Linked DNA regions of Struthio camelus. The protein of the gene in region 2 interacts with the protein of the main gene of each other region in a pairwise test. Links are inferred from orthologs where the notes say so. Each region holds a gene or a part of one and is shown on either strand. Other genes may lie near its edges. The genes, in order: MYF5 and ID1.

Evidence for each region.
Region 1: the proteins of ID1 (region 2) and MYF5 interact in binary tests that used the Homo sapiens proteins (3 or more experiments, as listed by UniProt). The link is inferred for Struthio camelus from reciprocal best matches to the Homo sapiens genes ID1 and MYF5.

What each region holds. Positions count from the first base shown.
Region 1 is NC_090942.1:45,728,979-45,745,258, reverse strand, and holds MYF5 (myogenic factor 5), read right to left. Parts: upstream 7,172-16,280; 5' UTR 7,057-7,171; coding exon 6,550-7,056; intron 5,987-6,549; coding exon 5,911-5,986; intron 5,759-5,910; coding exon 5,571-5,758; 3' UTR 5,317-5,570; downstream 1-5,316. Other genes in the region: MYF6 (myogenic factor 6), read right to left, coding at 13,718-13,839, 14,089-14,179, 14,453-14,971.
Region 2 is NC_090959.1:18,478,860-18,493,050, reverse strand, and holds ID1 (DNA-binding protein inhibitor ID-1), read right to left. Parts: upstream 8,837-14,191; 5' UTR 8,798-8,836; coding exon 8,456-8,797; intron 8,213-8,455; coding exon 8,171-8,212; 3' UTR 7,959-8,170; downstream 1-7,958. Other genes in the region: bactericidal permeability-increasing protein-like, read right to left, coding at 82-158, 234-297, 478-520, 804-871, 1,093-1,260, 1,564-1,623, 1,714-1,890, 2,005-2,096 and 6 more. UniProt on the Homo sapiens protein: Transcriptional regulator (lacking a basic DNA binding domain) which negatively regulates the basic helix-loop-helix (bHLH) transcription factors by forming heterodimers and inhibiting their DNA binding and transcriptional activity.

The DNA.
Region 1 (16,280 bases), on a different chromosome or scaffold from region 2:
ATAAGTGTGGGGAAGGGATTTCAGGTATATGCTTTTGTATACCTTCAGCGTGTCTAGTGGAGAAATTTCCTCCTCTGCATTTCCAGTAGCGCAGACAATCAGGATGCAGAACTGCAGTATTAGCTCAATTTCAAGGTGCTCCAAAGCAGCGATTGTATTTTCAAACTGGAACTACTGTTTGATTTCCTGTTTCTTCAAAGCACTACAATGTGGACAGTAAAACAAACAAATCCCCTCTTTTTTATGTTTGCAAAAAAAAAGTACAGCATTTTCCATATATGGTTTAGTAAAACAGGGAAATGGGGGGAGCAGAACAGGCTTTCGGTAGATCCAAATACTTCCAGCTAAAAAAAATGAACCCTTTGATGGAGCAGTGGTGCTTTTGCTAATGACTACTTTGCACTGAGCTATACATAGGTTTAACTAAAGTTATATTCACCGTCGTTGTTTGCTCACCATTAATGAAGGAGTTATATATTTATTGTTTAATAAATTGTGTGCAATCAAACAATTAAAAGCAATAGGCTTGATTTAATCCATCTTCTGGCTCCCTAGGTTGTGTAACAGGCACCTTATCTTGACTTTTATACTCCGGAAAGACTTTTGCTGGGTACCTGAGTCCCTCCTGGGCTTCTGACTCCTACTGCGATCAGTAGGAGTTAGGTACTTAAACATAAAAATCAGAGCCAAAGCTTTTAAGGCTTCTTTGTAAGACTTAAAATTTTTCTCTTGGGATAAATTCTATAGGAATTTTTAGAAAAAAAAATCAAACCAGTTCAGAAGTACATGTTATTAGAAAAAGACTGGAGGAATAAAGAACGAAAGCAGGCAGCAAGGGAGACCTATGTGCACTGATACTTTTCAGGCATGATGGGGTTTATCCTCTTCTGTTCCTGCTCCAACTTTGAAGTCTCTCTCAGAGACTACCAAATTCACGAGCACTTGATTTAATGCAGACACTGAACTACCCTCCTGATCAATCACTGGGCTGGCTGACCCTCACATATCATGCTGACTATTACTGTCTTCAAGAGCAGCTGAGCAGTACCTTTGGCATCATAGCCACCAGTATCTTCCAGCAGGTCATCAGGCAGTCAGGAAATGTTACTGACATGCAAAAGGAAGCCAAATGCCAGGGCTGGATGGTCCCTATGTGCAGCTGGTGTGAGGAGCAGAAACCAAAGGATCTTTGAGAAAGTAGCTGGGCTCTGTGGTTTAGTGGGATTGGCAGGAGGTCCGTGGGCATCCAGGGTGCACAGGCTCCTGGAGGTGGGAAAACAGGGTATCTGCTGAACCAAGGAAATGTATCACCATGTGGGTGGGAATAATGGGAATAATTCTCTGAGTCCAGTCCTGGCCTGGTGGATGAATATGTCTTTTGGACTGAATGGGCAGAAAAGAGTGACATGGAGGCAAGGAAAAGAAGGCCACGGCTCAGAGTCAGCAGCCTAAGCTACTATCTGAGGGAAAACATTACTAAAAAACAGGAAAAACAGCTCTGCGGTCTCTCTTTCACTCCCCTGCCCCGGCACAGGGGCCGGACTTGGCCCCATCTCCAGCCAGCCACGCTCCCTGGGGGCCAGCTGGGGCCAGCTGTGAGGCTGCCACCCCAGCGGTGCTGCCGAAGGCTGGCCAGCAGCCCGTGGGCAGCGGCAGGTCCTCGCCGCGGGACCCCACCGTCCGATCTGGCCCGAGGAGCGAGAGGAAGGGAGGACGAGCCGAGGGCGCTGCAGGAGGAGGGAGAGGAGAGCGGGGAGACACGAGCTGCCTGCTGCCACCAAGTCTCACCGCTCCCGCCAAGCTGGAGCGGCTGAGACACTGAAATAGCGACATGGTTGAACTGGGAGGATAATTATCCCCCAAGTGCAGCCACGAATCTGAGATGTACCTAGGTAAATTTTGGCAAACAGTAGGAATTACTGTTCCTCCTGGAAGAGGAAGATTGATCTTTTTCCTACCAGGGAAAATATGTGTTTTCCCGCAAGCAACTCAAAACTCTAACCGCGGAGCAAGCAGGGTTTTTTCTATTTGGAAACAAGCATGAAATATATGAACTCAAATGATCAGCATTTAAAAAGACATAAATGACTAAAAATATTGGGGTAGAATTTGTTTTTCAAACTTAACTATAAGAAGCACTGCAAGTGCTCACTGTAGCACACAGGGATGCGCACGGCAGATTATCCTAAATATATAGGCACACACCTCAGAAGGGAAGACACTCCTAAAAAAAACAAGTGTCAGATGGAGAGTAGGCATGCTCTCACACAAACACTACAGCTGAAAAATTAAGTAAAAAAAAAAAAAAACGCATACACATTATCAGTCATGTACACACAAGTAACGTGAGCATCATATGGAAAAATCTTCCAGAAATATGCAAGCGTATATTAAGGCATGAAAATACAGGCCCTTCAAGGCACAGTTTCCTAGCATTCAGCCTAAAGACCAGCTTTGCATCTTTTCTGATGCTAGCAAGGCAGTTCCAGAAAGCATCACTTTTTTGGACATAACTATCCATAATCTTGTGTGAGGAAAGCTTCCTCTGAAATGCACCATGAATGCATGTGAGGATTTGCTGTGCCTTAGGGCTCTTAATTCCTTGAGTAGACATATTCCTGACGTTGTATTTAAGAGGTTTTTGCTAGGTTCCTATGTCAGTTTTGTAACTGCTGATGGATCTTCTGATCCAAGACTAAAGAATTTATGTCACTGCAGATTTCTGCTCGGCTTCTCAATGAAATATAAAATAGGCTCTTCACAGAAAAATAAGGGCAGCTGCTTCCTTCATTCAGAACATAAGCCAAGAAAGTATATTTTTCAGAGGTAAAATTGAAATATAATATGAATTTTATGTGAAAAAATGTACAGAGTCAATTCTTCACTGCAGCGAGTGATAGATAGGAAACTTCAGGCAAAGGAGAAAGTGGTCTGTGTTACATTGATCTGACACTGTGAGGCATCGCTTCACCCACTTGATAGCGTGCAACATCCCTGCGTGTCATTAATATTAAGCCAGCTATTAAGAGTTTAGAGAGAGCTGGAGCTCAGGTTTTCCAGACCATCATCTTCTTACACATTTGTGGGGCATAACCCTCTTTAAGTGAATGTGATCTGCCTAGAAGCCAAACCCTTCTTTTCAGTTCCAATTATTTCTGAATATGCAGAAGCTGACCACAACAGCGCATCTCCCAAAATAGCAGTAATTTTACGCTTTGTTCTTCCCAATCCACAGGCTAAAGATGGGGTCCGTAAGTAGTCTTCCACCTCTTTTTCACTTCAGATAGCCACAGATTACAGCAAATTTCGTTTTGCAGGAGCTTTGTTTATAGATGTCCTATAATTAAGAGCTGGTTTTCTTGACGCATAAAAAATTGCCCTCGGATTGTAATCTAGTCTAGAGCGGCTGAGGAGGCTACGGACAAACATCCCACAGACTGGATACTTCTACTCGCTCACTCGCTGACAAGCTAGTTCTCAAAAGTATTGACCTTTTTGCAACTCTTAAAATGTCTGCCAGCCAAAGAGAGGTGTCCATTACCAGCATGTGATTTGCTGGTGCTGCTCTGCATACTTCACAGGAGGTCGCTTGCCAAGGTCAGCACTGTGCAGATTGAAATGCAGAAAGTTCTCCAACTTAGCTCATTTTAAACCATCATTTAAAATGATCTGCGTCGTATTAGATGCTGGCTGTAAACAGTACCCTTGAGACAGTATTTTGTTTGGGAGGAGTGATTACTGCAGCAATGTAGCCATGCACGAGCTCATGACTAAACCCAGAGCTCTTCCAGGCTTTGCGTAAGGGTTTCTATGAACAGGAGGCTCCGGAAGTAATCGTCCGTAGCCAAGAAAGTCTGTTTGAGTCAAGGCACTTGCATGCTCCTGAAGCGTCTGCAATGACAGCAATGTGCTAATATCTTGTTTGTAGCTCTGCAGAATCCAGGCGTTTCAAAGCACTTTTTCTACTTGATGGCTGTTTGGGACCTGTGCATACACACAGAAAAAACTATTCTGGAAAAAGCTTGTCCCGGGTTACTCTGCAGGAAGGAAAACACTTACCTCAAGATTACATAGCAAGGGCATAAGGTGATTTGCAAGGAAGTGTTGGCCTTGCCCTCTGTCAAAAGTACAGCTGCCCCAGCACAGCTGAGCCCAGCAGGCAGGTCACTTTCCTGTGGGCTCCTGGGGGGAGTAGCCCGTCCCGCCGGTGTGCTGGGAGGGCTGGGCCGTCCCCCAGCGAGACTCTCTGCATCCACATTTTGGGGTCGCTGCCAAAGAGCGGTCAGGTGGCAACTTTTGGTGACATGACTAAGCTGGGCTGCGCTCAAGTGAAAGATTTATCAGAGATGAAATACCGCTTCCAGGCCTCTTGGCCACCCATTGCTAACAACATAAACACAAATGGCAAATATGCCCTTATCCCACGCTAGTGAAGTGTATATCCCTTCCCACTTGGAGTATTTATCATAGAAGACATTCCTGGATGCCCTGAAGGAACCCATCTCTCCCTCTCTTCTCTTTCTCTTTAGTGGGGGCTAGAAAAGTTTTGGATTACAACTGGAGAAGAACAAAGGGCTGGACATTTTTCGTGGTAGAAAGAGTTAGATATAGTGCCTGGAAGGAAATATTTGTTAACTCGTGAAGACTTGACCTGGCTATTTCTAGACCCATGTGACTGCAAACATTAACAAATGAGTCATGAACTTTCATCCTTACTGGTGGGACCAAAGGCATTAGGAGCAAATACATCTATATTACTTTCTGAACATTGTGAGATGTACCTTGTGGATTGTGAAAGAGATATTTGCGGTTTGTTCTTACTAACTCTACTAAATTTGGCTCTGTGAGAGCAGTGAGAGTAACAGAGAGCAAAATTCCCCTGTGGAGTATCAGAGCGAGATCACGCAGTTGACTGACACTGGAGAGCCATCATGCAATTTCAGGGCCAAATCTTGAAGTACCTGTTCAGCGTTCATGCCCACTGGAAGGAACAAAGGCTTTGCTAAGAAAAAAAGACGACTGCAAGACATCATTTTTACTCCTTCAGACGCCAAAGGAAACTCCGCCCACAGCAGCAGAGGAACGGGAGGGAGAATTTGACCCCGCAAATTTTTGCTCCTCCATGAGCAACCTCAGAGTAAAACCCACTAGTGACGGGAGAAATGAGCTCGCAGGCCGCAGCCCCGCAAGACGTTACACCTCTCCCCCCAGCACCGCCCAGAGCCGGGGGGGGAGGGGGGTCACCAACCGGGCTTTGCTGCCCTCCCGAAAACAAAACCAGGGGCCGTTTTTAAAGAACCACCAGGCGAAGCAGCTCTGTTGCAACAGGTTTTATTTGCAGCGGGGTTGCCGGAGAAGCCCGCGGGTGCCGCTCTGGGGGGAACCCGGGCCGGGACCCGGCGGGGCGCGCTGCCCCCAGCCCCGACGGCCGCGCTGCTGCTCCCCAGCTGCGCCGAGAAACGTTTGCAAGAAAACCACGGCGAGGGGGTGGCAGCGGCCGCTGGGGCAGCCCCCGCGGCAGGGCAGGGGCGGCGGGGGGCGGGCGCGGGCTGCCGGCCCCCCTCGGCCCCTCATAACGCCTGGTAGGTCCGTCGGGGCGGCGGCGTCCCGGGCGTCCCCGGCCCCGAGTCGAGGCCGGCGCTGGGCGAGGGGGAGGCGGCGTCGCGGAGGGGCTGCTGCTCGGCCGGGGAGAGGCGGTCCACGATGCTGGAGAGGCAGTCCAGGCTGGACAGGGCGCTGCTCTGCTCCGCCGCGTAACCTGGGCACGCAGGAGGCGGCGCGTTATAGCGGGCTCCGCCGCTGCCCGCCCCGGGGCCGCCGCTCGCCCTTTCGCCCCCAGCGCCGCTGCAGCCGGGGTGCTGGGGGGGGGATGGTTGGGGCCGGGGGAGGGGGGTCGGGGTCCGGGCTTACCGTGGGCCATTTCGGAGCAATAGACCGTGTCGAAGCTGCTGCCTCTCGCGGACCAGCCGGGGCTGCTGCATTCAGCCTGCAACACAGCGAGTGGGCATTGCCCGGCACTGCCCGGCCTGGCCCGGCCCGGTCCGGCCGCCCCTGGGGCAGCGGGGCACGGTGAGGCCGCGCCGCTGCGGTGAGGGGCGCCCCCGGAGTGAAAGCGCATCGCAGCCCGGCCCGGAGCGAGCCGCGGCGCCCGCAGAAGACTTGGGACAACAGCCCCTCGGCAAGGCTTGGCCGGGCTGGTCCTATCTCCCCGGTCCCCCTCTCTGGGGCTCCTCTCTGCCCTCGGCCCCCCCCCCCCCCCCCCCCCGCCCCACGCACTGCCCCGCTGCTGCTCGGCACTAAGCTGGAGGGGAGGCGGAGGAGCCCGCGGGGCGCTGGCTGGGTGCCCTCTAGCAAGGCCTGCGCGTAACCCCGAGCACGCCCAGCAGCCCAAGTGAACGTGCTAAATCCGGGAAGGGGCCTGTTTTAACCAATCGCATCCCCATTTTTCTGGCCTTGCTGCATTCAGCCCGTCGCAGCCCCCTGGGACCTGCCCTCCGGCCCTGGCCAGGGGGACCCCCCTGCGGCCCCACCACCCAGCCCCTCTCTTACCATCCCGTCCGAGCAGCTGGAAGTGGGGCTTGTGGGCTCGGAGCAGCTCTGTCCTGGCAGGTGGTAGTAGTTTTCTACCTGTTCCCTTAAGAGCTCCTGGAGGCTCTCGATGTATCTGATGGCGTTTCGCAGGATCTCTACTTTGGGGAGTCTTTGGTTGGGGTTGGCCGTGGTGCAGCGCTTCAGGGTCTCAAACGCCTGGTTCACTTTCTTCAACCTCCTCCTCTCCCTCATGGTGGCCGCCTTCCGCCGGTCCATGGTGGTGGATTTTCTCTTGCAGGCTTTGCAAGCCCACATGAGGCAGTGGCCGGCCTGGTGGTGGCCGGTGGGAGCTCGGACGTGCTCCTCTTCCTCGGAGCCGGCTGGCTCGGCGGGCGGGTGGGCTGCGAAGGCGGGCAGGTCCCGCGGCTCGAAATCCTCGGCGAAGTCGCCCTCCGGGGAGGAGAGGCAGGAGCTGTCATAGAAGAGCTCGGCCGGGGAGAAGTGGCAGCTGTCCATCACCTCCATCGCGGCGGCGGCGGCGGCGGGCGGGCGGGGGGCAGAGGCGGGGGCAGCCGCCGGCTCTCGGCGAGTCGCTCTGCAGCTCGCCGGGGCAATTTCCTCAGTAATTAGCGACCCGAGACGAAGTGTCCTTTGGCTGATGCGGGGGGCCCTTATATATACATGTTAAGGGAGGCTGGTCCACAGCGGCCACTCTCTATTAGCATATCCCACCACATCCCCTGCCGGGGGCCGTCTGGGCAAACCCCCTGCAGTCCCCAGGAGACAATTTGCTCTGCACCGCTCCTTTGGGCAGCCGGCTGCGCTGGGCACGTTTCTAGCGCACAACCTCTGCAAGGCTGGTTGCGACACGTCCGAAGTTTAAACCAAGGCGGAAAGCTGGCAATTTTGGTACGAAAAGAGAAAGGGAGGTAATAAAAGCAGACGAACCGCTGACATTTCCTCCCGCTCCTTTCATAGTAGGTTTGTCATCGTCTCCCATCCTATGCCGCGATGCGAGGACACCGGCTGTCCCTGCTAAGGTGTTAACATAGAGCCTCCCATAGTTCCTGCACTGCGACTGTGGTGTCTTTATGCCCCAGAGCTCGTTGTCCAGTTCTAGCCTGAAACAATTTACCCCTTTTTTCAGACCTAGTATTTTGTCGTTTATCTTAGGGAGTGCTTTGTCTTGCAATTAAAGTTTTGTCATCAAACGTTTAAATTGACAGACTGGAGGACAGAAATGCACAGCTACGTGTCACAAGGTGGTGGTGGTGGTGGGGACGCAGGTCAGGTTTTAGTGCTCTCGGCTCGGGTCACACGGAAAGGTACTCACAAAAGAAAAGTGTGCGAGTTTGGTCCTAGGCAAATCCCCTTCCCATTCTTTCTCCTACTCGTGTGACCTGGTGCTGCTTAGAGACACAACAGTCGAGCAGTGCCTTGGGCTTGCTAATTTTCTGCTTGCAGGCAAACTTGTACCGTTACAGATGCGTCCCAGCTGCCAGTGCAACAAACCCCTCCTGGAAGTGTAAAATTTCTAACCCCGCAATCCCTAAGTAACTTTACACAAGTCAGGGACAAAAGCTTTGCAGAGATCCAGCCGCAGCAGTAGCTCAGCGGAGCTGTGCAAGGGTCATTAGAGTGGTAATGAAGCCATTTAACAGGCATTTGCTAACGCGCAGGAATCCTTTGGTTTCATCCAGGTGGCTTTTGTAGTTGAGGAAAATATTATGAGAGGGCAAAGGCGACCTTCCCTACCTGGGAATAAAATTATGTTACCTGGGTTAACTCAAACCGAGAGCAAGTGACCCAACAGTGATTCAAACGCTAGGGACCTGGTCTGCGTACCCAGGAAAAAAGTGTCTTCAATTAGCCTCTCCCAAGGAAGAGGCAATATAGGGGACGTTTCGATCCAGTTGTCTTATGGAGCTTCAAGTGAGCAGCGCACTGGAGAGCTGCCTTGGCCGGGAAAGGGTCCCCGGGCCGGGCCTGTCCGCTAGTCCCCGTCCCAGCGCCCCTGCCCCGAAGGAGGCGGATTTTAGCCCGAAGGGCTAAAACTTTTCCTAAAGAAAACTGCAGGCACGCACACACGTACACCCTTCTTCCTAAGAGCGGATGCATAATTATCTAAAGGCTTGGGAAGGCTACATCTGCACTGCTTCGGTTTATTTGGGGCCATAAACGAGGGGAGCCCCCTTTGAAATGAATACTGTAGGAAAAGCAGAAAGTTGATAAAGGAGTAAAGTTACAGCAAGGGGAAGGCGCAGAATTCCAGCCTTCCGCCGCTCCGAGGTGCAGGTTGGTGTGCAGTTGGGCCACGTCTGAAACAAGGCAGTTCCCTATTGTTTCCCCCAGAAACCGCCGGGCAAAGGAAGCGGGTCTGCTCGGCAGTAACTTGAACTCTTCGCCGGGCTGTGCGGGCACGCACACACATACACACGCACCACACACCTTTTGATTGACCGCGTTTGCGCTGGCTAAAATAGACCTGTTTACAGATTTCGGCTTTGTGCACAAATAAAACTTGATCTTTAAAGTGCTGTAAAGTGCCATCACCGTTCAGTCGTTTCTCTCCAAGCCCTGTGTATCTTCGGGTGCACATTGCCAGTCCCCTTGCTCTTGCTCGTCTTGCATGTGCAGTTTTAGCTCGCAGCTTTAATTCTTAATCCAGACGGGCTGGGGTTGTTGAGAAACGTGCCTTTTCCCCAAAGTCTTTGAGGACCTAAGAAAATTTGTTTCTCTTTCCCTTGAATATTTGGGGGAGGGGGAAGAAAGGATGGAACAGCCTGTCACTCAGGGAAAAAAAAAAAAAAGGTCTGTAATTAGTATCCCTTAAGAGAGCCTAGCTCCTCTGGTAAAGTGATCTCAAAACAAATTTGCAGAAGTGCAGCAGGCGAGTGGAACTAAAGAAAGGGGTGAGAAAACACAAACTACAAGGCTGGCTAATGAGGCTGCTGGTTGCAAGGGGCGGGGGCGGGGGGGGGGGGGAGATGGTGCGGCACTTCGGGTCTCCGGAGGCTGAAGTCCGGAAAGCGAGAACGGCCTGAGCACTGGACACTGCTGGTTCCCGTGGACAAGCAGGGAGGAAGAGTGAAATAGTGAACGTGGCAGGACCTCTTCAAATGGTCGTGTGTCGTCCCCCCCCCCGCCCCCGCCCGCAGCAATCGCTCGGCTGCAGCTATTTCTGAAGGGACTCAATCCCCCTGTGCGGATCCTTTGCAGAGCTTGCACTCCTTTCTCAAACCCTGTGAGTTTCGCTCTTAACAAAGAAAACTCCACGGAAACAAAAAATAAAAATAAGCAAGCGAGGGCGGGGGGCGCCTCGGCTTTGCACCTCGCGTCTGTTAAGAGCAAGGTGAGGGATGCGCAGCTCCCCCAGACCGGGAGATTTCCCCTCCCTGGCTTTGCCAGAGCGATTTCCAAGTGCGGAACAGCGACCAGCACCGAGGGCGGTTTTTAGGGGTGGCTGTCATTTAAGAAGCAAGACGAGCGCTGCAGCCAAGCGCTGCTGCGTGCGGGGGCCCGAGCCGCGGCGGGGCACGGCCCGGCAGCCGGCGGGCGGCCAGAGGCTGCGGCGAGAGGCTCCCGCTTCGCTCTCGGGCTGTTTCCCAGTCGGGCCCGTGTGGAGCCGTGTGAGAAAAACGTTTGGTTTCCCCCAGCGCTGGGAACCGTGCACACCTAAGTAAACACATTAGTACCTGCCAGGGGGATTTGTATAGAAGACAGCTGAAGAAGGCATTGGCCTCTGCTGGCATTCTGGGACTCCCAAGAGAGATCAAAGGGACACGAGGGGGTTTTTAGCAGCCTTGAGACTGGGAAAAGTTGCTAGTTCCTGCTATCGAAGGGACGTCCCAGAGAGCACATGGTTCAATTATTCAACCTCTTCCCTCCCCTGCCCCCCACTCCTATTCCCCCCGTCTGGAAACCAGCTCATTTTCCACAGAAAGGTGAAAGCTCTGGAAAAAGCGTACGGGTCCCTCAACCCAGCAACGACCCAAGCAGTATTTTTTCCCTGCGGGAAATAGCTGTTGGGTTGAAGCCTGTCCGGGTTGCCTTCGAGCTCGGAAAATAAGCTGAGCCCGCTGCCGGCCGGCCGCCCCCCTCCCTCTTCGCTTTGCAGACAGTTTTACAGAGGGAAACGCAGATGCAAAATAAAAATTGGGCTTTAAAACACGGACGTTTCGGCGTCGTTTCGGAGGAGAGCAGTAACAAAACCGAGTGGCCACGCAAATACACCGTCTCCGCCGGTTGCTTCTCCCGGGGGCACAGAGGGGCCAGCGCAGCCCCCGAGGGCGGTTCAGCCGCGCACCTCCCGCCTCTCGCGGCGGCGGCGAGCAGGTGGCTCCCCAGGGCGGCGCGGAGAGGCGAGCCTTTGGCACAGGCTTTTCTGGAGTAGTGCTCCAGATGGCTTGTTTCGTGATAAATACACTGCAGAGAGAAGGGGGTGTGGGGGGGAACGTTTTTGTATTCATCTAAAGTTTGATAACTTTGTTCGTGGCCCTTCTGGAAAAAAACTGGATTAAATCACAAACCTCTTGTCCTTACCCAGTTATTATCCTTTGATTGTGTGATTTCAGGGCCCTGTTTGCTTTGGCTTTGGGCTTAGGTAAAGATTATCGTTATTAATATCAAACACAAACATTTTAACTGCAAACACAGTGAGGACCTTCGCTGGGAAGCTCGGCATGTCGGCCGCAGCCGCGGGGGTCACGGAGAGTCTCTTCGGGAGGTATTTTCTTTATTTAATGAAAAACCTTCGTTAGTCAAACTTACTCCAAACAATCGCTCAAGTTACTCTGCTGCTGAGGGCGACGCTGCCGTGGGGGTCCGACCGGGACGACGGGGCAGTTTGTTGAGGTTAATTGCCCGCATGAGGATAAATCTAACAGCAGGCGGGGTGTTTGCGTGATACTGTATTTTCGAAGGTGCTTCAACACAGTTCTTGCTGTGGAAAGTGGATCCTACGGGTTTTCTTTCAGTGGGATTTTGCCCGAGACGTAGTGAACTGTATGGTAGCCCTTCTCCTTAATCGAGTGAGAATCGAAACAAGTTATTAAGGAAGGCGATCGGCTACGAAACCGATTCGAAATTTTCCATTCCTAATCAAACCCCTTGATTACAGAAGCCTCTCCTTGATAACAGCTTCGCTCTTTCGCCAAAATTCAGAGATTGCATGCAAAAATCGGAGTTCCCCGAAGCGCCGCTTTCCGAATAGCCCGCGGGTGCCCTAAGGAAAAGGGTTTATTTCAAGCCAGAAAAGGGGGAAAAACTGTCTCCACGTCCTCTCGCTACATGCCCATCACACTATGTCGCCGCAATTAGTCCTTACAACAGAATATCCCAGCAGAGAGCAGTTAGAACAATTACTTAACCGGTTTAAAAACCAAGCGGGCCACGGCGCACGAGAAGGGCGAAAGGACGGCACCGCGAGAGAGACAGCTCAAGGAAGGTCTCTTTCAAGAGCTTCCCTTTCCGACAGACGTACCCGTGCCAGTGCCGGCCGAGAAGGGTGAGACCTTCCAGAAACGTGGCTGTGACCCTTCAAAAAACAAAAACAAAAAATAAATCAAGGGTTAAAGTTGACCAGGAGAGCGCCCACGGGCAGATTTAAAGTAGCAGCCCTTTGCTTTTGTCAGCTCGTCTGGAGAGCCCCCGTGTGTGTGTGTGTGTGTGTGTAACGAAGAGTGTGTTAGTTCCTGGTGGTCGCCCCTTCCTGGGATTATAAACAATCTGTTACAAGCCGTAAAGTTCTGACTGTGCGTAGCTCCCGCTCCACCATCCTCAGAGAGCCTTGTGTTTTTTTACATCACTGAGTGAAAGGCTTCATATGTTGGGCCCCCCACCCCACCCCCCTTTCGGCCACTTAACTCTTTCCTCCCTGAGGGACCCCGTTCTCTTTTCCCTCAGGCTCAGGGAAGTCAAGGGGAGTTACCTTTCCTCGGAAGAAGTCACAGCCCTCCAGCCCCCAAGGGAGCTGGCTCCTGTCAGAGCCTTTCGCTGCCCCATTAAGGTAGCAGGCCTATAAATTGTGCTGCAGACAGGGCCTGGGTTCAAGTCCTCCGGCGCCGAAAGGAAAAGGTGAGACGCGCTGAGAAGATCAGAGGGAAGGCGATAAATTAAAACCCGGGAGGCCGAGCCGCTTCTCAAGGACTGGGGCTGTGCTTGGGCTTTCCCCTTTCCCCTGCAGCATGTGCAGATCAGATAAAATAAAGCTCTGGACAAGGCGGGAGAAGCGTCCTGGCGAGCTAAGCAAGTGGCGTTGTCGGACGTTTGAGGGGAGCAATAATAAAGCCGTCCGCGGCGCGGAGGCGCGTTTCACCAAGCACCGCAGGGAAACGGCCCGCGGAGCGCAGCGCGCCTCCAGGCGCTCGCCCCGGCGCCGCGGGTGCACAGCTCCTTCCCGGGCACCCCCCCACCACTCCCCAAACGCCTGCCCTGCTTCCTGGGGGAAAAACAGGGCAGGGTGCGGTCCTAGGCAAGGAGAGGCACTCCCCAGAGGAGGAAACGAAGGAAAATCTGTCCTGAGTGCAGCCTCCCAGTCACACAGCTTTGTGCCTCGGCTACATAAGGTCTGAATCTTCGGGGCTTGATCTCGCTGAAGTCAGTGGCAGATTTTAACTCCAGGATCGGGTTATTATTTAATTACGGGGAGGGGGAGAAACACTGTAACACAAAGAGCTTTATTTTACAATCCAAGAAATCCGTCTGTTCTTATATACAATATCACATTCCATCATTTAAATATATATTTGTCATGTTTACAAAAGAAAAGACAGTACTAAAATTATTTACAGAAATGAAACGAGGCGGGAACTCTTTAAATACGGGCTAACACGAAATGCAACCAACAGCTTCACTCAGATAGGAATGAACTTTTCGGTGAGAATCAGACAAAGCGGATCACCGCTACACAAGTAAGTATCTTAAATAAAAAAGGGAGGAGGGGTGGTCTATGCAATGAAGTTTAGAGAAAACAAAACTCAGGAAAAAGAAAAAGAGGGGAAAGAAAAGGGGGAAAAGTCTGTATGGTTCGAGTCGGTGAGGGCCATTTTCTTTGGGGAAAGTGTGCCTTGACTCGACCTTAACAAGGCCCCTGCCTGGGCTTTCCACTATATTAACTTAATTCATTATTTAGGTTGGGGAGGGGAGGGCTCCTTCTCCGTTAAATATACTACCAGACCGACTGGATTTATTTCTCCACCACTTCCTCCACGCTGGGTAGTTTGGGCTCGTCGGAAGAGATACTGTCCACTATGGAAGAGAGACAGCGAAGGCTGCTGGAAGCCGACGACTCGACGATGGAGCCCCCTGCTTAATAAGAAAAATAAGAGTTTACGGAGCAAACGGTTCCTCCTCGCTAGACACCTCTCCGGGTGCGCGGAGCCGGCAGGAGAGCGGGAGCGCCGCAGGGTGAGAGACCGAAGCCGCCCGCGACCGTTAGGGGCTGTGACCGTTGGGGGTAACGGCGCGGCGCGCGCGAGGGCGGGGGCGGCGGGCGCCGGCGGCCGTTAGCCAGCTCGGGCGCCGGCTGGGCTCGGAGACGGCGTTTGTGCGAGTTACCTTCTTTGGGGCTGACTCCTAGCACTCGGGAATGATCGGAAACGTTTTGCCACTCGGAGCTGCAGGTGCTCAGGAAGTCTGAGCTGGGGATCTGAAGTAAACACAGCGGGTTGGGGGGGGAGGGAGCGGGGCAGGGAGAGACACAGGGAGACGACATGTGTTAGACAAGTGGGTCGCGGCTGCCCGCTGGAGAGCCGAGCAGCTCGCAGCACCGTCTTCGAGGAGCCCCTTTCGTGCCTGCTAGTCTGCCCGGCAGCCCGGGCTGGCGCAGGGGCCGTGTTAAGGACGAGGGGAGGGGGTTAGGGGACGGCGGTGCCGCGGCTGGATGTCAGGGCGGCGGGAGGAACCAGCCGGCAGCGCTTACATTTCCCTGCTTGGGGCTGAAGCTGAAGGGGTCGCCCCCAATCTCCTGCATTTTCTCCTGCTGATCCAGCCTGTGCAAGAGGTCCTGCAGCCGCTCGATGTAGCTGATGGCGCTCCTCAGGATCTCCACCTTGGGCAGCCTCTGGTTGGGGTTCGCCACAGTCCGCCTTTTCAGAGCCTCGAAGGCTTCGTTGATCTTCTTCAGCCTCCTCCTCTCCCGCAGGGTGGCTGCTTTCCTCCTGTCCGTGGGGGCCGACTTTCTCTTGCAAGTTTTACAAGCCCAGATCAAACACTGGCCGGGGCAGTGAGGGGGTTGTAGTCCCGGGGGTGCCAGCACATGCTCCTCTCCGCTGCTGTCACTGCCGGCCTCTGGTGGCATTTGGTCCTGACAGGGGGACAAGGTGCCCTCGCTGCCCGGGTACAGGGGGGAGCCCTCTGCCATCTCCAGCTGCTGCAGGGCTCCATTCTCCCCGTCCAAGTAGAAGAAATAGGAGCCAGTTTCAAAAAGGTCCATCATCATGCTGTCCCCTCGGCCTCTCTGCCTGCTTGAGTTGGGTGGCAGGCTCAAAAACACCCCGAGGAACAACCCAGATGGAATTTAATTAGTGCAGTGACATAAGTCCCCCCTGCTTTATATAGGAGCTGCTGAAACCCTATCCAACTTTTAGCTGTCGCGGTGCATCACCCTCCAAATCTGATTCCAACCAGTCTCCTGGGCGCTGTCCTGAGAACATCTCCTATTTAGAGGGGGGGGGGAGCAGGAAGGGAGGGGAACAAATGTAAAAAAAAAAAAAAGGAAAACAAACGAAAAATAACCCCCCTCCCCCACCAAAAGCTCATGAGCTCAGGCTGGAGCAGACGGGTGCGAGGTGGGGGTGAGGAGAGCTGTGGTGGAGCGGGCACGGCTAGAGGACAAAGGCACGGGGCTGTGACTGAACCCTCCCCCAGCCCACCCCAGCCCGGCCACGGCCCCGCTCGCACACACGCACGCACGCACACACACACACGCACACACACACACACACACACACACACATGCACACACCCCGCACGCTCCTTGTCCCAGTGCTAAGTATAGATCTATAAGGAGAGATTTCAAAGGCAGCCATGACTCTCCAAATAGATGGTTTAATATTTTCAGAAGAAGCCCTTGCTATTCCTGCCCCCCCCCCCCCCCCCACCATAAAGCATGCCATTCCTGTGACCCAAGCTGCCCGGGCCAGCCCAAGGTTAGAAGCCAAGCGCACTGTTCTTCCATGCACAGGGGGAAGGTTGCCAAGGCAGAGCCTCGCTGCAGTGCTGAAGCACTCATGGTTTTGCATCTCGGCATAGGGCTTTAAACTGAACTTCCCCATGCTGCCCTTGAGGTGACAGAAGTGATTCCAGGTGACTGGGTTGCAGCCTGGTGGGGCTCTCCAGACAGCCCCTATCCTCGGAGGTGTCTAGGGCAAGCAATGCCCAGGCATCCGTTCCAACTCCCGTTACTCCCTTGGGCTTGGCAAGACACACAGCTTCCTGGCCCTTCAGCCAGAAATGGAGCTTGTGATCACTCTCTGTTAGCTTATAGAGTAACATCAGATCAGGTGTAGGCCTCTCTAACCTCAAGAAAGAGAAGGTAGGGGAAAATGACCTGTTTGCTTCTTTCCCTGGGCTGTCTTGTGTTCCTTAAATCACATGTAATTGCTCTCTACTTATGTAAAAAACATGAGTCTCAAAAGCTGCAATGAAATTGATCATCAACTTGACTGATTCTCCAAAAGTGATTGCAAACTAAATTTGCTATGAATACAAAATTGTTAAAGAGTAATTGTGATTTTGTTTTAACCAAG
Region 2 (14,191 bases):
GGATGCAGGACAGGGGACACGGGCACGGGACAGGGAGCGCAGGGCGCGGGGCGCAGGGCAGGATGCGGGCCGCGTACCCACCTCCTGCAGCGTGACGTGGGGGTTGAGCAGGCGGAGGCGGCCGGCAGGCGGCAGCGGGAAGCCGGCCCGGAGCTTCCCTGCGGGGGAAGCGGCGGCGTCAGCGGGGCACCGGGGGCGGGCGGCGGGCGGCGGGCGAGGGGGGCGGCACTCACGGTTCGCCAGGGGCACCCCGAACACCCGCAGCCCCAAGTTCAGCAGCTTCTCCAGGTTCTTCACCTGCGGCAGGCCGAGCGCCCCGTGAGCCCTGCAGACCCCGACCACGGCGCCCGCCCCAGCTGGCAGCGCCTTGCACGCCGCCCCGGGGCAGGGGGTGCCAAGGCCACGGCCCGGCCCCGGCACGCAGCCCCCTGCGCCCCGGCCCGGCGTGAGCCCCCGGCCCCGCCGCGTCCCGCTCACCTCCAGCGGCCCCACGCGCGACTCCACCTGCGCCACGCTGAGGCTGGCGGGAGAGAGCCGGGTCAGAGGCGGGCACGGGGCCGGGGCTTGCCCCCTCCCCGGGACGGGAGGGGGCTGATCCCGGGTGGGGAGGGGGGGATTTGGGGCAGGGTCCTGCTGGCCGGGGTGGGGGGAGCCGGGAGCCCGCCGAGCTGGGGTGCAAGCACTAGGCACGGGGCATGGGCAGGGGCAGACCCCGGGGAGGGGAAAGGCTGGAGGTCGAGAAGGGGGAGCTTCTCTGGGGGCTCCCGGGACTCAGCCCCCTGGCCCCGGGGTGGGGGGCTCACCCCTCCAGGCTCACGGAGCCCCCGATCCTGCTCGCGGTGAGGATCGGCTTCCCCGTCACGTTGGCATCCTGCAGCAAGAAGAGATGTTGGAAAGACCAGGGCAGTGCCTGCCACCCAGCATCACCCAGCATGGCCCAGCACGGCCCAGCATGGCCCAGCACCCCCCAGCACGGCCCAGCACGGCCCAGCACAGCCCAGCTGGGATTCCAGGGCAGGGCCAGCCCCAGCTGAGCCCCTCTGGGCCAGGCCCTAGACCCCCCCCCCCCCCCCCCCGGCCCCGGATACTCACAATATTCAGCAGAAAAGTGGAGATGCGGGTGGCATTGGGCAGGACCACGAAGGCCTCCGCGGAGCCAAAGAGAGCGAGGCGCAGGCCGTCGGGGCGGCAGGAGAGCAGGGGCTGCCGGCGGGCCGAGAGGTGCAGCTCCATGGGCTGGTCCGGGTAGAGCTCCTGCAGCTGGGGAGCGCCAAGGACGCTGGGGACCGGCCCGCGTCCCATCCTGCCCACGTCGCATCCCACCTCTGTCTGGACCAGCCCACGTCCCATCCTACCCGTGTTGCATCCCACTGCCATCCCAACCGGCCCGTGTCGCATCCCACATCTGTCTGGACCGGCCCGCATCCCATCCAGCCCGTGTCGCATCCCGCCTCCGTCCAGAGAGCCTGCGGCCCGTCCCTCCTGCGTTGCATCCCTCCTGCATCCCGACCGTCCCGTGTCCCGTCCTGCCCGGTGCGGGGACGGCTCCCGGCCCCTGCTCACCCGCGGGGAGAAGAGCCCCAGGCTGTCGGTCCGCAGCCGGAGCGGGAAGCGCCGCGGGAGCTGCAAGGCAGGCGGAGGGGAAGGGGCCGCTGGGGCGAAGCCGGGCCGGCGCGGGCAGGGCGGCCGCGAGCCCCGGCCCCGGGGCCGTACCGTGCTGCCGGTGACGGTCCAGCGCAGCGCGCCGGCCGTGAAGTACACGAAGGCGGCGGAGTTGGCGACGAAGTCGGTGACGCCCAGGAGCAGCATGGGCGCCCGCGCCTCGGGCAGCAGCACGGGCGCCGCCGAGAAGGGGCTCTGCCGGTGCCAGCCCACGCCGAAGACCTCCCCCTGCGCGGACGGACAGATGGACAGATGGATGGAGGGCAGGTGGACGGCCACGGCGTTGGGGCCAGCCCGGCCCTGGCCGCCCGCTGCAGCCCGCCGCTGCCCGGCCGCCGCTACCTTGACGCTGACGTCCGCGTGCTCCGCGGTGATCTCCGGCCTCCGCAGCAGCGAGTAGTCGATGGCGGCGAAGGGGTCGAGCTGGGCGGACACTGCGGGGCGGCGGGCACGAGGTCGGGACCAGCCGGGCCGCCGGCCCCGTCGCGCAGCCCCCGCGGGCCCCTCGCAGCCCCCCCGGCCCCCGGCGCCCCCCACCTCGCACGTCCTTCAGGGCCTCCTGCAGCCTGCCGACGCCGCGCTGGAGCTCGAGGCAGAGCTGGAAGCGGAGAGCCGGCGTCAGCGAGCCCCGCGGAGCGGGGACGGGCCCGGGGCCGCCGCGCACGGAGGGACGGGGCCGCCGCCGCCATGGCCGGTGCCCGGCGCTCACCTGCTGGCCGAGCTCCAGGCGCAGGGGTCCTTGCAGCGCCGGCGCCAGGAGGTTGTAGAGCCAGCTGCGGGGACAGCGCGGTGCCCTCAGCCCGGCGCGCCCCAAAAGGGTCCCGGGGCACCGCCGGGGGGGGCCCCACGTGCCCGGGGGCCGAGGGCGCCGCGCCGTTACCTCTGCCCGTGGCGAAACTCCAGGCGCAGGTGGCCGACGCTGGCGTGGCAGCCGGCGCTCCGCACGGCGGGGTGGCCGCCGCCGTCCGCGCTCACCCCCAGCACCGCCGACACGGCCACGTCGCCCGCCTGCACCTCGAGGACGCCGCCGTCCCGGCTGCGGGGCGCAGCGGTGAGCGGGGGGCGCCCGGCCGCCCGTGCCGCCGGCCCCCCCGCCGCGCCGGGACTCACACTGGCCAGAGCTCGGCCGCCCAGTCGCCGCTCAGCCGGATTTGGGCTCGCCGGACCGTGAGCCTGACGCCCACGTCCTCCGAGAAGTCCACGGCGGAGTCGTTGATCTGCAGCTCGTGCACGCGGACCCTGCCGAGGCGGAGAGCCTGGGCTCGGCGCCGGCCGGCGCAGCACCCGCGGGGGCCCCGGCGGGCGGCCGGCCGGCGCGGGCTCCTACCGGGGCACGGCGAAGGCGAGCTGGCCCAGCAGCGGCAGGCGGTACGAGCCCGTCACGTTCAGCACGTGCTCCTTCTGCAGCAGCGCCCGCAGCCTCTCCAGCCCCACGCGCCGGCCTGGGGCAGAGCGCCGCGGTCGGGCACGGCCGGGGCCGCGGGGTGCCGCCGCCGCCGCCGCTGCAGGACCCGCAGCCGGCCCCCGCCAGCACCCCGCCGCGGCCCCCTCCCGGGGCGCCAGACCCACCGTAGTCCAGAGCCTGCCGGGTCACCCTGCCCTTGAGGCCGGGGTTGGGGGCGGCCAGGGCCGAGCCGGCGGCCAGCAGCAGCAGCAGGGAGAGGCCGGCCATGGCTGGAGCGCGGCGGGGCCTGGCGGCTGGAGCAGAGCAGGGTGCTGAGCACCGCGACGCCCTCACCGCCTCCTGCGCCCGCCGCGGCCGCCCGCCCCGCCACCACTTATATCGGGGCCGGGGAGCCCCGGGTGACATCAGGGGGGCTGCGGGGACAGTCCCGCCGCCGTCCCGGCGGGCGCCTTCCTCCGGCGCTTCCCGCACGTGCCGGGGCCACAGCCCGCCCTTGCCCAACGCGTGACTCAGAGGGGAAGCCGGTTCCCGCGCTGTCCGGCCCTGGGAGCGGAGCCGCCGGGGGGTCCCACGCGGCGCTGCCGGGAGCCGGGGCAGCCGCGGCGCCGGGCGGGGAGGGACCAGCCGCTGCCCTCCACGGTTTGCTTCTCTGCTTTCGTGCCGCTGTCGCCCCGTGGGGAGCACGAGCCGGCGTGCGGGTGCGGGTGCGGGTGCAGGTGCAGGTGTGGGTATAGGTGCAGGTGCGGGTGCAGGTGTGGATGTAGGTGCAGGTGTGGGTGCGGGTGCGGGTGCTGGTGTAGGTGCGGGTGCAGGTGCAGGTGCGGGTGCATGCTCAGCCCAGCTGGTGCAGGGTGCTCCCACCAGGCTCAGCCCCGGGGACGTGGCAGGCTGCTCCCCAAGAGGTGCCCCATGGCGACACGAGGACACGGGGTCAGCGCCGGTGCCCATCGCAGCCACGAGCCCACGGCTGGCGGTCCGCGGTGAGGGGAGGGAGCCCGGCGCGGCTGCGGGCGCCAGGGCACGCTGGCCCCCGCGCTGTGGCAGCCCGAGCGGGAGGGTGCGGGGCGCGCGCCCCGGCTGGCGTGTCCCCGCCGGGCTCCGGCCGCCCCGACGGCAGCCGCTCCGCCGCGGAGGCAGCGCGCTGGCCCGGGCCGTGCCGCCCCGCAGCACCCCGGGGCCGCTCCGCGGGAACGCGCTCCGGCCGGTCGCGGCCGGGAGCAGAGGCGGCTCCTGCTTCGGGAAGGGCCCCGGGGGATCCTGTGCGGGACCGTCCAACCGTCCCCCCCGGGCGGTGGGAACGGGGACCCGGCTGCCTGCCAGCACCTGGCGTGGGGACAGCCCGGCCGCCGTCCTGGCACGGGCTGCCGACGTGGCACAGGCTGCCGTGGTGGCACGGGCCACCCCCGCAGCAGGGCGGGCGGCTGCAGCCAGCGCTTGGCACCCGCGCTCAGCCCGAGCCGGCACCCCGGCAGCGCCCGGGACCCCCCGCCGGCCCAGCCCCACGCCGAGGAGACGGGGCCCGCGCCGCTCCCTCGGAAGCAGGACTCAGCACCCCCGGCGCCACCAGCCACGGCCGTGGGGACACCCACAGTGCCCGGCAGCGTCCCCACGGCCAGCCCCATGCCCCGGCCTGGCCCCCCAGGGCCCGAGCTGCCCCCGGGGCGCCCCGGCGCTCGGGCGAGCCTCACTGCGGCAGGCGAGCCCGGTGCCCCGGGCCGGGGGTGACGCGGGTCCCGTCGCGGTGCCCGCCTCAGCCGTCTCCCCCGGGGCTGCTGGTGGCAGCGAGCAGCAGGGACCTGCTCTGGCGACGACGTCCATCCCGGCGGCGGACAGGCTGGTCGGACTGGGATGTCACCCAGCTCCCCCTGTCCCTAATCCCTTCCGGGATGAGTCAAGTCCCTGTCGCAGCAACAGCAGCAAGGACCTGCTGGCGAGCGGGTGCCCGCCGGGGCCGGCCGCTCCCTGGGGCTGCCCGGCAGATCCCCCCGTGGCCGCATCCGGCATCCTGGCACGCGGCTGCCGGGCTGGAGCAGCGACGTGGGGCGGCAGACACGTCACCACCACGGAGACTTCCTCCAGCAGCTCCGTTTGCCACCTTCCACCTTGGCCGGCTGCGAACGAGCGGCTGGAGCGGGGAGGAGAGGAAGGCACCTGCGAGCAAGGCGTGGATGTGGCCTCTGCCATGGCATGGAGCAGGGCCCCAGCACCTCGAGCAGGGCCCCAGCACCCCAGCACAGCCCTGGACACCGGCTGCCTGCGCCCAGTGGGGCCACGAGCATCCCGCCGGCCGCGTGGCTCTTACTGCAGCTAGCACGGGCTCGACCCCGGTCACCCTCCTGCTGCCCTCGCTGCCACGGCCGGGTCGTTGGGACGGGGCTGCCGCGTCCTTCGGCAGCGGGCAGAGCCCTGCAGCGGCACCGCGGCCGCTGGAGCAGTGGCCTCGGAGCCAGGAACACGTGCTCGCCGCACCTCGCTGAGCCGCCACGGCTTTACCAACACATGAAGCGGCTGCAATCGTGCGGGGCCTCGAAGGCGACACTCGCCTTCCCCTGCCGCCGGCCATTGGGAGCCGGAGCCCGGCCCAGCACCCCGGAGAGGCTGCCAGCGCCTGGAGCCGTTGTGCCAGCGCAGCCCTGGCCGGGGCGGCGGGGCTGGGGGGGCCCGAGGTGGCTCTGCCCCTACACGGCCCCATGAGAAGGGGGTCGCTGCAGCAGCCCCAGCACAGCCTCTGCGGTACCCAGCCCAGCCCCAGGAGCCCTGCCAGCCCCCGGTCCCCTGGTGCCCCATGACCCCCAGGAGCCCCCACCAGCCTCCTGATGCCTCGGTGCCCCATCCCACCTCCAGTCCTTTGGTGCCCTGGGAGCCCTTCCCACCCTCAGGAGCCCCACCAGCCCCTGGCCCCCAGGAGCCCACCCCAGCCACTGGAGCCTGGAGCCCAGCCCAGTCCCAGCCCCTGGAGGCCCATCCTGGCTGGGCCGGGCAGCCGCGCAGTCCGAGCAGGCACCGGGAGAGGGACCCCGCGGGCCAGGAACGGGGACCGCACTCCTGCCGCCTGCCACAGCCGGCCCAGGGCCAACAGGGGCCGGGGCTGCCGGGGGCAGGGGGGATGGCAGGACTCCAGAGGGGAAGGCAGCATCCCACCCCTCCAACAGCACCCAAGCAGAGCCCCAGGTCTGCAGTAGCCCCTGCTCCATCCCCCCCAGGCCCGGCCGCAGTAGGGACCAGGGTACTCAGTCCTGCTTGTCCCCCCCCAGGAGCGGCTGCATCGCAGCAGGGGCAGCACCGACCACCAGCAGGACCCGGGGGCTCTGCACATTTTGGTGTTACTAATTCAGACAGTTTTTGCTTTAATCTAGAGGAGCGGGCAGGAGCTGAGACTGGGGGCACTGCCAGCCTCCCCATCCCCATAGGAAGGGCTCCAGCCTGGGCAGGTTGGGGACAGAAGCACAGGGAGGGTCACCCAGGACAGCAAAGCATCTCTGGCCCAGCCTGGGCTCTGCCACGCAGAGCAGGACCCGTGGCCCCGCAGCTCACCCGCTGCTGCCTCATGGCCAGGGCAGGGACGTCCCCGTTCCCCGAGGTACCTGGCCTCCAGCTGCCCTGTCTGGGAGGGGATGCTGAGGGACTGACTCACATACAGACACCTGCGAACATGCACGCACACACACACTTGCAGCCATGCGCAAACCCTTGTGAGCATGCAAACACAGCACACAGGTGCAGGTGTGCACACAGCTGCAGCAAGGGCTGTGTCACCCCTTCCGTGCCAGCAGGGACACGCTCCAGGCCATGCACGCCGGGCCTGGCCGCGGCGTCTCCCTGCCACAGCACAGAGGGCTCGGAGGCAGCCCAGGGTTGGGCACAAAGGGGGCACGGGGAGAATAGAGATGCATCCATCCACACCACTCAGCCGAGGCCTGGACGCAGCCCAGGGGGGCAGAGACTGCCCCACCAGCTGCCCTCCCCATCCAGCGGGGCCAGGGCTCTTGCAGCCGAGAGCAGCCTCCTGCCCCGGGCCGGGGCAGCGGGTGCCCTCAGCTGCCCTTCCGGACCCAGAGGACCGACCGGTCACATCCGCTCCCAGGGAGGGAGCTCAGCCCTGCATGGTGCTGGGGCAGGAGGCCAGCGCTGTCGCCACCACCAAGGCACCCTGCAGCCGTCACGGGATTGCACAACCCACTGCTGATGTGGGTTCCTGCTCCCCTCCCCAGGGCTGCAAAAGGGCAAGCGGGAAGCACAGAGGCAACACCAGTGTTCCCAGAGCGAGCAGCACCCCAGGCCTTGCGGGCACTCTCACCAGGGAGTATGCGAGGGGCTGCCCCACACAGCTGGGCCCCCCCCCCATAGCCACAAGCCTCCCAGCTGGGCCAAAAGGCAGTGACTCACAGTGACTTTGCACGAGTCACTGAACCACTGCACTGGCCCAGCTGGGAAATTGTGCAAGGCCAGGCCCATGCTGCTCGGCACACGCCATGGGGCAGCACCAGCCCTGGGGAAGCCAGTCTGGGCTGGCACCTGGCTGCACCAGCACCACAGGGCTCATCAGGGAGGGCACAGGGACGCCCAGGGTGCAGGGCCAGCCCCAGAGGCACCCAGGTGGGGGGGCAAAGCCCCAGACCTGGCCCCCTCCCACCAACATGCAGGGTGTGCCTGCCCACAGGGCCAAGGGGAGAAACCCCAGCAGCATCCCCCCATCTGCAGCCCCAAGGGGCACAGACACAGGGGAACGGGGTGGGGTGGGGGTACAGGGCAGTATCCAGGCAGGGGATCAGCAGAGCTGGGCTGCTTCCCAGACCCCAGGGCTCCCACACCCCACGGGGCACCCTGCCCACGAAGGGCTCCCACCGCCTTCGCGCTCCGTGGGCGGACAGGGCCAGAAGAGAGAAGCGTGCCTCGTAACCAGGGCTTGTTTAATAACAAAACTCCAACTATTGTAGAACAATATTCTCCAGCATCATTGTAATATACAATACAGGGAATGCTCTCAGCAATCTGAGAAGGATACGTGCCGCGGGGCCGCCCTCGGCACAGTCCCACGGCGGGGGGCGCGGGCTGCCACCCCCTCCGGGCCCGGGCCGGGTCCTGGCAGGTCCGGAGCAGGTCTCAGCGGCACAGGATCCGGTCCGCAGCGGGCATGCACGGAGCCTGCGGGAAGGGCGACAGGGGGCCGGTCAGTGCTGGCTTCGGGAGCCCCGGGGGAGCAGGGCGGCAGGGGAGAGCGGCCCCGGCTGGGGGCTGCTGAGCTGCCGCAGGTGGAAGGGGCGCCCACAGGGAGGTGCAACCCGCCGGGGAGGACGGCGGCGGCGCTGGGGGGCCCGGCGGGTTCACCCGGAGCGAGAGGGGTGTGAAAGCGACCGGGAAGGGGAGCGGAGCCGGGGCCGCACTCACCTCGGGGGGGTCCCCGCCGGGGGCGGCGGCGCAGGGCGGCCCCCGCTGCAGCGCCAGCTGCAGGTCCCAGATGTAGTCGATAACGTGCTGCAGGATCTCCACCTTGGAGACGCGCCGGTGCCGCGGCAGCGTGGGCACCAGCGCCCGCAGCCGCGAGTAGCAGCCCTTCATGTCGTAGAGCAGCGCGGCGGCGGCCGCCGCTTGCTCCGCCGCCCCCGGGGCCGCGGCGGTCGCCGCCCCCGGGCCCGGCCCGCACCGCGCGGCCTCCCCGGGCCGCACCGCCTTCAGCGCGCCGCCGGCGCCCGCGGGCAGCGGCGAGGGGGCGGCGCTGGCGACCTTCATGGAGCGGCGGGCAGCGACCGGCGGCAGCAGGACCCTGCGGGCGCGGAGCGAAGCGCTGCACTCCCGCCGCCCCGCGCCGCGCCACTTATAGAGCGCTGCGGCCGGGGGCGGGGCCGCGGGGCCGGGCTGTGGCCAATAGGAGCGCCGCAGGGCGGGGCCTGCCCCGCCCCCCCCCCCATTCATGAGCCCTGAAGGGGACTGTGTTAAAGAGACAGTGGCGCTGCCCCGGGGAGGAGCGGGTAGAGGCTTGGCGGGGGGGCGGGGGGGGGAAGGTCGGGCCGCTGCCCGGGGGTCACCGGGGGCCACCGGGGCACGGAGCACTGGGGCGCACCGCCTGCGCGGACACCTTTCCCCGCCACGGGCCCCGGGCCCTGGCCCCCCGTTCATGGGGCTGAGTTACTCTGCGTTCCTGGAGCTCGGCCCTGGTAGCAGAGCTGCTGCGGCAGAGGTGCCTCCAAACGCCCGGCTACAGCCTACTACGGCCGCCCCCGGGACCCTGAGACCCCCCTGGGCTCCTCTCCAGCTGGGCCCCTCCAGCCCGCGGACCCCTGCACCACCCCGGGCCCAGAGCCCAGCTCGCCCTCCTTCAGCCCCCCAGGCCCGCTGCAGCCCCCGGGCCCTCTGCAGCCCATGGCTCTCCCCAGCACCGAGGTCCCCTGCACCCCCGACCCACTGCATCCCCCAGGTCCCTGTATTCCCCAATCCCTACCCCCCCGGCCCCTGCAGCCCATGGCTCTCCCCAGCCCCCGGGGCCCTGCACCCACCAGGGCCAACATCCCCCAGGCCCCCTGCAGCCCCAGCTCCCTGCACCCACGGCCCCCTGCACTCAGTCCCTGCAGCCCATGGCTCTCCCCAGCACCGAGGTCCCCTGCACCCCCCAACTCCTGCATCCCCGACCCACTGCATCCCCCAGGTCCCTGCATTCCCCACCCCCTGCACTCTGGCCCCTGCACCCCATGGCTCTCCCCAGCCCCGGGAGAGCCCCTGCACCCCTGGCCCTGCACCCCGGATGCACTGCAGCCCCCAGGTCCCTGCATTCCCCGCCCCCTGCACTCCGGCCCCTGTACCCCATATCTCTCCCCAGCCCCAGGGTCCCCTGCACTCCCCAGCCCCCGCACCCCTCCCGGGCCCCCCGCAGCCCAGCTCGCCCCTTGCGGCCCCCCCGCCTCCCCGGCGGCTCAGACCGTTAGACGCCAGGGCCGTGACGTCACCCATTCATAAAACCCCGCGCGCTGTCAGCGCGGCGCCTCGCGGGCGGTGCCCATGGCGACGGGGGCGGGGCGCGGCGGGCGGCGGGGCTCGGGCCCCCCCGCAGCGCTCCCGGCCCCGGGTTCAGCGGGAGCCGCCGCGGGGCCGTGCCGGGCCCGGCTGGGTGCCGGGGGGCGCCCCCGCTCCCCCGACCCATCTTTGTGCAGCGGCTGCAAACGCGGAGCTGGGGCGGGAGGTCCGCTACGCCGTCCTGCGTGGCCGTGCCGTGCCCGGGGCCGTGCGGCACCGTGCCATGGCTGCGCCATACCGTGCCCAGGGCCGTGCCGTGCCCGGAGCTGTGCGGTACCCATGGCCGTGCTGTGCCCATGGCCGTGCCCAGGGCTGTGCCGTGCCCGGGGCTGTGTCGTGCCCATGGCCGTGCTGTGCCCGTGGCTGTGCCCAGAGCTGTGCCATGCCCGGGGCTGTGCCGTACCCATGGCCGTGCTGTGCCCATGGCCGTGCCCAGGGCTGTGCCGTGCCCGGGGCTGTGCCGTGCCCATGGCTGTACTGTGCCCATGGCCGTGCCCAGGGCCGTGCCGTGCCCGGAGCTGTGTCCTACCCATGGCCGTGCTGTGCCCATGGCCGTGCCCAGGGCTGTGCCATGCCCGGGGCTGTGCCGTACCCATGGCTGTGCTGTGCCATGCCACAGCCGAGCCATGCCTATGGCCATCCCTGGGGCTGTGCTGCGCCTGGGGCTATGCTGTGCCCACAGCCGTGCCGTGCCATGCCAGGGCTGTGCCACGCTCGCTCGGTGCAGGCTGCAGGTGCAGGGCAGCGCTGCCCTCCCGGCGCAGGGTGCCTCCTTGCCCCAGAGCGTGGGAGTCACCTGGCAGCTGGGGCCCCGCCAGCGCTTGGGCGCAGCTCTGCCGCCCCAGGCGGGTGGCCCCGTGGGGCGCTGGTGCCCAGGCCCCGCCGCGTGCCGCCTGCTGAGCCGCGGGGCCGCGGCGGCTGTGCCCGGGGCTGAGCCCCCGGCAAAGGCGACTCGTGCGGGGCAGGCCGACGGCGGCGCGCGGCACGGGCGGTGCGGGGCCGGCAGGAGGCCAGGCCGGGCGAGGAGGTAGCATCTGCGCAGCTGCAGCCTCTCGTGCAAGGCACAGCGTAAGACGGAACAGAAAACCAGTCCCTGCCCTAAAGGGCTTCCGATCCAAGCATTAATTAGCATTAATGATCGTTACCTTATCTTCGCACCTGTAGGGAGGTTCATCCAGGGTCTCGGCTAGACAGGAATGACGGGGCCGGGGCAGGAGGCAGCGGCGCCCTGGACCGCAGCCTCGCCAGCCGCGCATCGCGCAGCAGCCCCCGCGGGGTCCCGGCCCCCGCCTGCCGCCCGGCCGGCTCCACGCCGCTCGCGCACCGTGGCTGCTCGCAGGGCTGTCGGCGCGCCGAGCGGGCAGCCGGGGCCGCCTGGCGCAGCCGCCCCAGTCTTCCCCCCAGCCGTGCTGCAGAGGCCCCCCCCGGCCCCTCTCCACCCCCAAACGGCATGAAACAGCGCGAAAGCAACTGAAAAATCTCCAGGCAAAGTGGCAGCCCTTGTGCCCTGTACACGCGCCCGGATGCACACGCCGAGGCACGCGCACACGCCTGCGCGCCCAGGCGCCCTGGTGCACGGCCACGCACAAACGTGTGCACGCGCACACACATTCACGCACATGCACAAATCCAGCGGTGCGCACACACACACGTGCACACACACTCCCCCCCCCCCCCCCCCGTGGCGTGCCCGCGTGTGCCGGGCGAGCGGGAGCAGCTCCCCTGCCCCTGCCCGCGTGGGGCCGCGGGGCCGGCTGCGCCGCAGCTTTGTTAGCGGCAGCAGGAAGCAGCGACGGCCTCTGCGGCGAACAAAGCCGGCGCGGGGCTGGGGCGCCCGGACAGCGCGGTGCCAGCCTGCGCGCCCCTGCCCCGCGGCTCGCCACCCGGGGCCCTCGTCACCCGGGCTCGCCGCGGCCGCAGCAGGGCACTGCAGCGGCAGCGGCGCGGGAGCAAGCTGCAAGGGCGCGGGGCGCGCAACGCTCCGGCACGGGGCACGCAGGGCCCCAGCGCGGGGTGCATAACCTCTGGGTTGCATAAACCCTGCGGTCTCTGGCTCAGCCTGTGCCGGGCCATCTGGGGGGACCACATCCCTCCATCCCTCTGTCCCTCCATCCCTGCATCTGTCCTGCCCTCCATGCCCCCTCCGTCCATCCCTCTATCCCTTTGTCCTTGCATCCTTGTCCCTGCATCCCTGCATCCCTCTCTCCCTGCATCCCTTCACCTCTCTCGCCCTCTATGCCCCCCTCCCTGCATCCCTCTGTCCCTGCATCCCTCTGTCCCTGCACCCATCTGTCCCTGCATCCCTTCACCTCGCCCTCCCTCTGTCCCCGCGCCCCCCCGCCCGCGGTGGCGCCGGCGGTGGCGGTTCCCAGGGTGGGCACAGCCCTGGGGTCGCCCCCTCCATTCAGGGCCCCGCGGAGAGCCTGGTGCCTGGCCGGTTCCCACAGAGGCAATCAAAGCCGCTAATTAGCCCCCATCTGGCGGCGGCGGCCCCCGCGCACGGAGGCGCGCGGGACATTGTGTGCAGGAATGCCTTTCAGCGCCGCCGCCCGCAGCTGCGCCGCCAACAATGCGCCGCCGCCGCCGGCCCCGCTCGCCGCCTCCGGCCGCCTCAGATCCCCCGCCGGCCGCTCGGCGCGAATTAGCCAGATGTCAAAGCTCGGGGCCCCGAGGCCGAAAGGTCAAGCCCGGCCCCCGGGCTGGCGGCCGCCCCGGCGCGCCGCTCCGGCCGGGCCCGCGCGCAGGGAGCACCGAGCCGCAGGGGCCACGGCGGCTGCTCCGGCCCCCGTCCCGCTCCCGGGGCCGGCTGCTCCGGGGCGGCGGCGGCCGAGGGCCCTTCCTCTGCGCCGTGCCGGCCGCAGGGAAAATCCGAGAGGTGGTGGCGAGGCCGGGGCGGGCGCGCTGGCCGCGGGAAAGGCGGCCGGGCCGGCCGCGTCGGCCAGCAAGACGGATAGCTTCATTTCCATGTCAATTCTGGGAACGGGGCGGGCGGCGCGGTAACACCGGCTCGGCCATATGGCGCTGGCACGCGGCTGAGCCGCCGGCCCGGCCCGGCCCGGCACGTCGCGGCTGCTTTGCGCGGCGCAGAGGTTGCCCGGCAGCCGCCCGCAGCAAAGGCCGGGCGCTCGGGGAGGGCAGCGCGCCCCGGCCGCCCGGCGCGGCCCCTGCCCCGGCTCTGGCCCAGGCTCGGGCTCGTCCTGCCGCCCTCGGCCCGGCCGGGCGCAGCGGGGCGCCGGGGAAGCCCCGGCCTCGGCCCCGGGCGCCGCAGGGCCGGCGGGCGAGCGGTGCCGCAGATGCGAGCGGGGCCGGCGGCTCCTGCCGCGCAGCTGGAGCAGGGCCGAGGCCTGAGAAAGCCCCTGCGCGTTCCCCTCCCTCCTCCTGCCTTCCCGTCCCCGGCTCCATCCGCTCCAGCCCAGACCAGCTGGAGCCGAGCGGCCCTTCCTGGGATTTATTCCAGCTTCCTGCCCCTCCTCGCCGGCAGCCGCGGGCTGGGGCTGCTGGCGGCTGCTTCCTCTCCCCGCTCGCAGCCGCGCGCCAGGCGGGCCGGGTGCCGCCGGCCTGCACCCAGCACCCGCCGCCCGCCTGCCCCCGAGCCGGAGCCGCCGGGGCCGGGGCAGAGGAGGGGACGGGGACGGGGCGACGGCACGGGCCCGCTCGGCCATCCCCCGAGCCCTGCCCCAGGCGCCGGGGCTGCCGCGTTGCCCTCCCTGCTGCCCCAGAACCGCCCGCCGGGGCAGCAGCCTGGCCGCCGGCTCGGGCCAAGCGCCCAGCGCGGGGGCACGGCGGACCTCCGCGCCCGGCCCACGGCACACGATGCCGCCAGCGGCCCCGGCCCCGGCGGCTGGGACGGCTCGGGCGCCCCGGGGGAGATGCCCAGCGGCGCGGGAAGGGGCCCCCGTGGGAAAGCCCTGGTGCAGCCCCGGGCGCGAGGGGCGCGAGCCTGGGGGTCCCCGGCTGCCTGCCCACGTCGCCGCCCCGAGGCGCAGGGCAGGAGGCCATCGGCCCCGAGGCCACAGCAGCCCCCACCCCTGCGGCAGCCGGGCCCCGCGGAGGCTTCCTGCCGGAGCCGGCACGCTTCCTCGGCCGCGGCAGCCGGAGGGACCCCGCGGCGAGGGG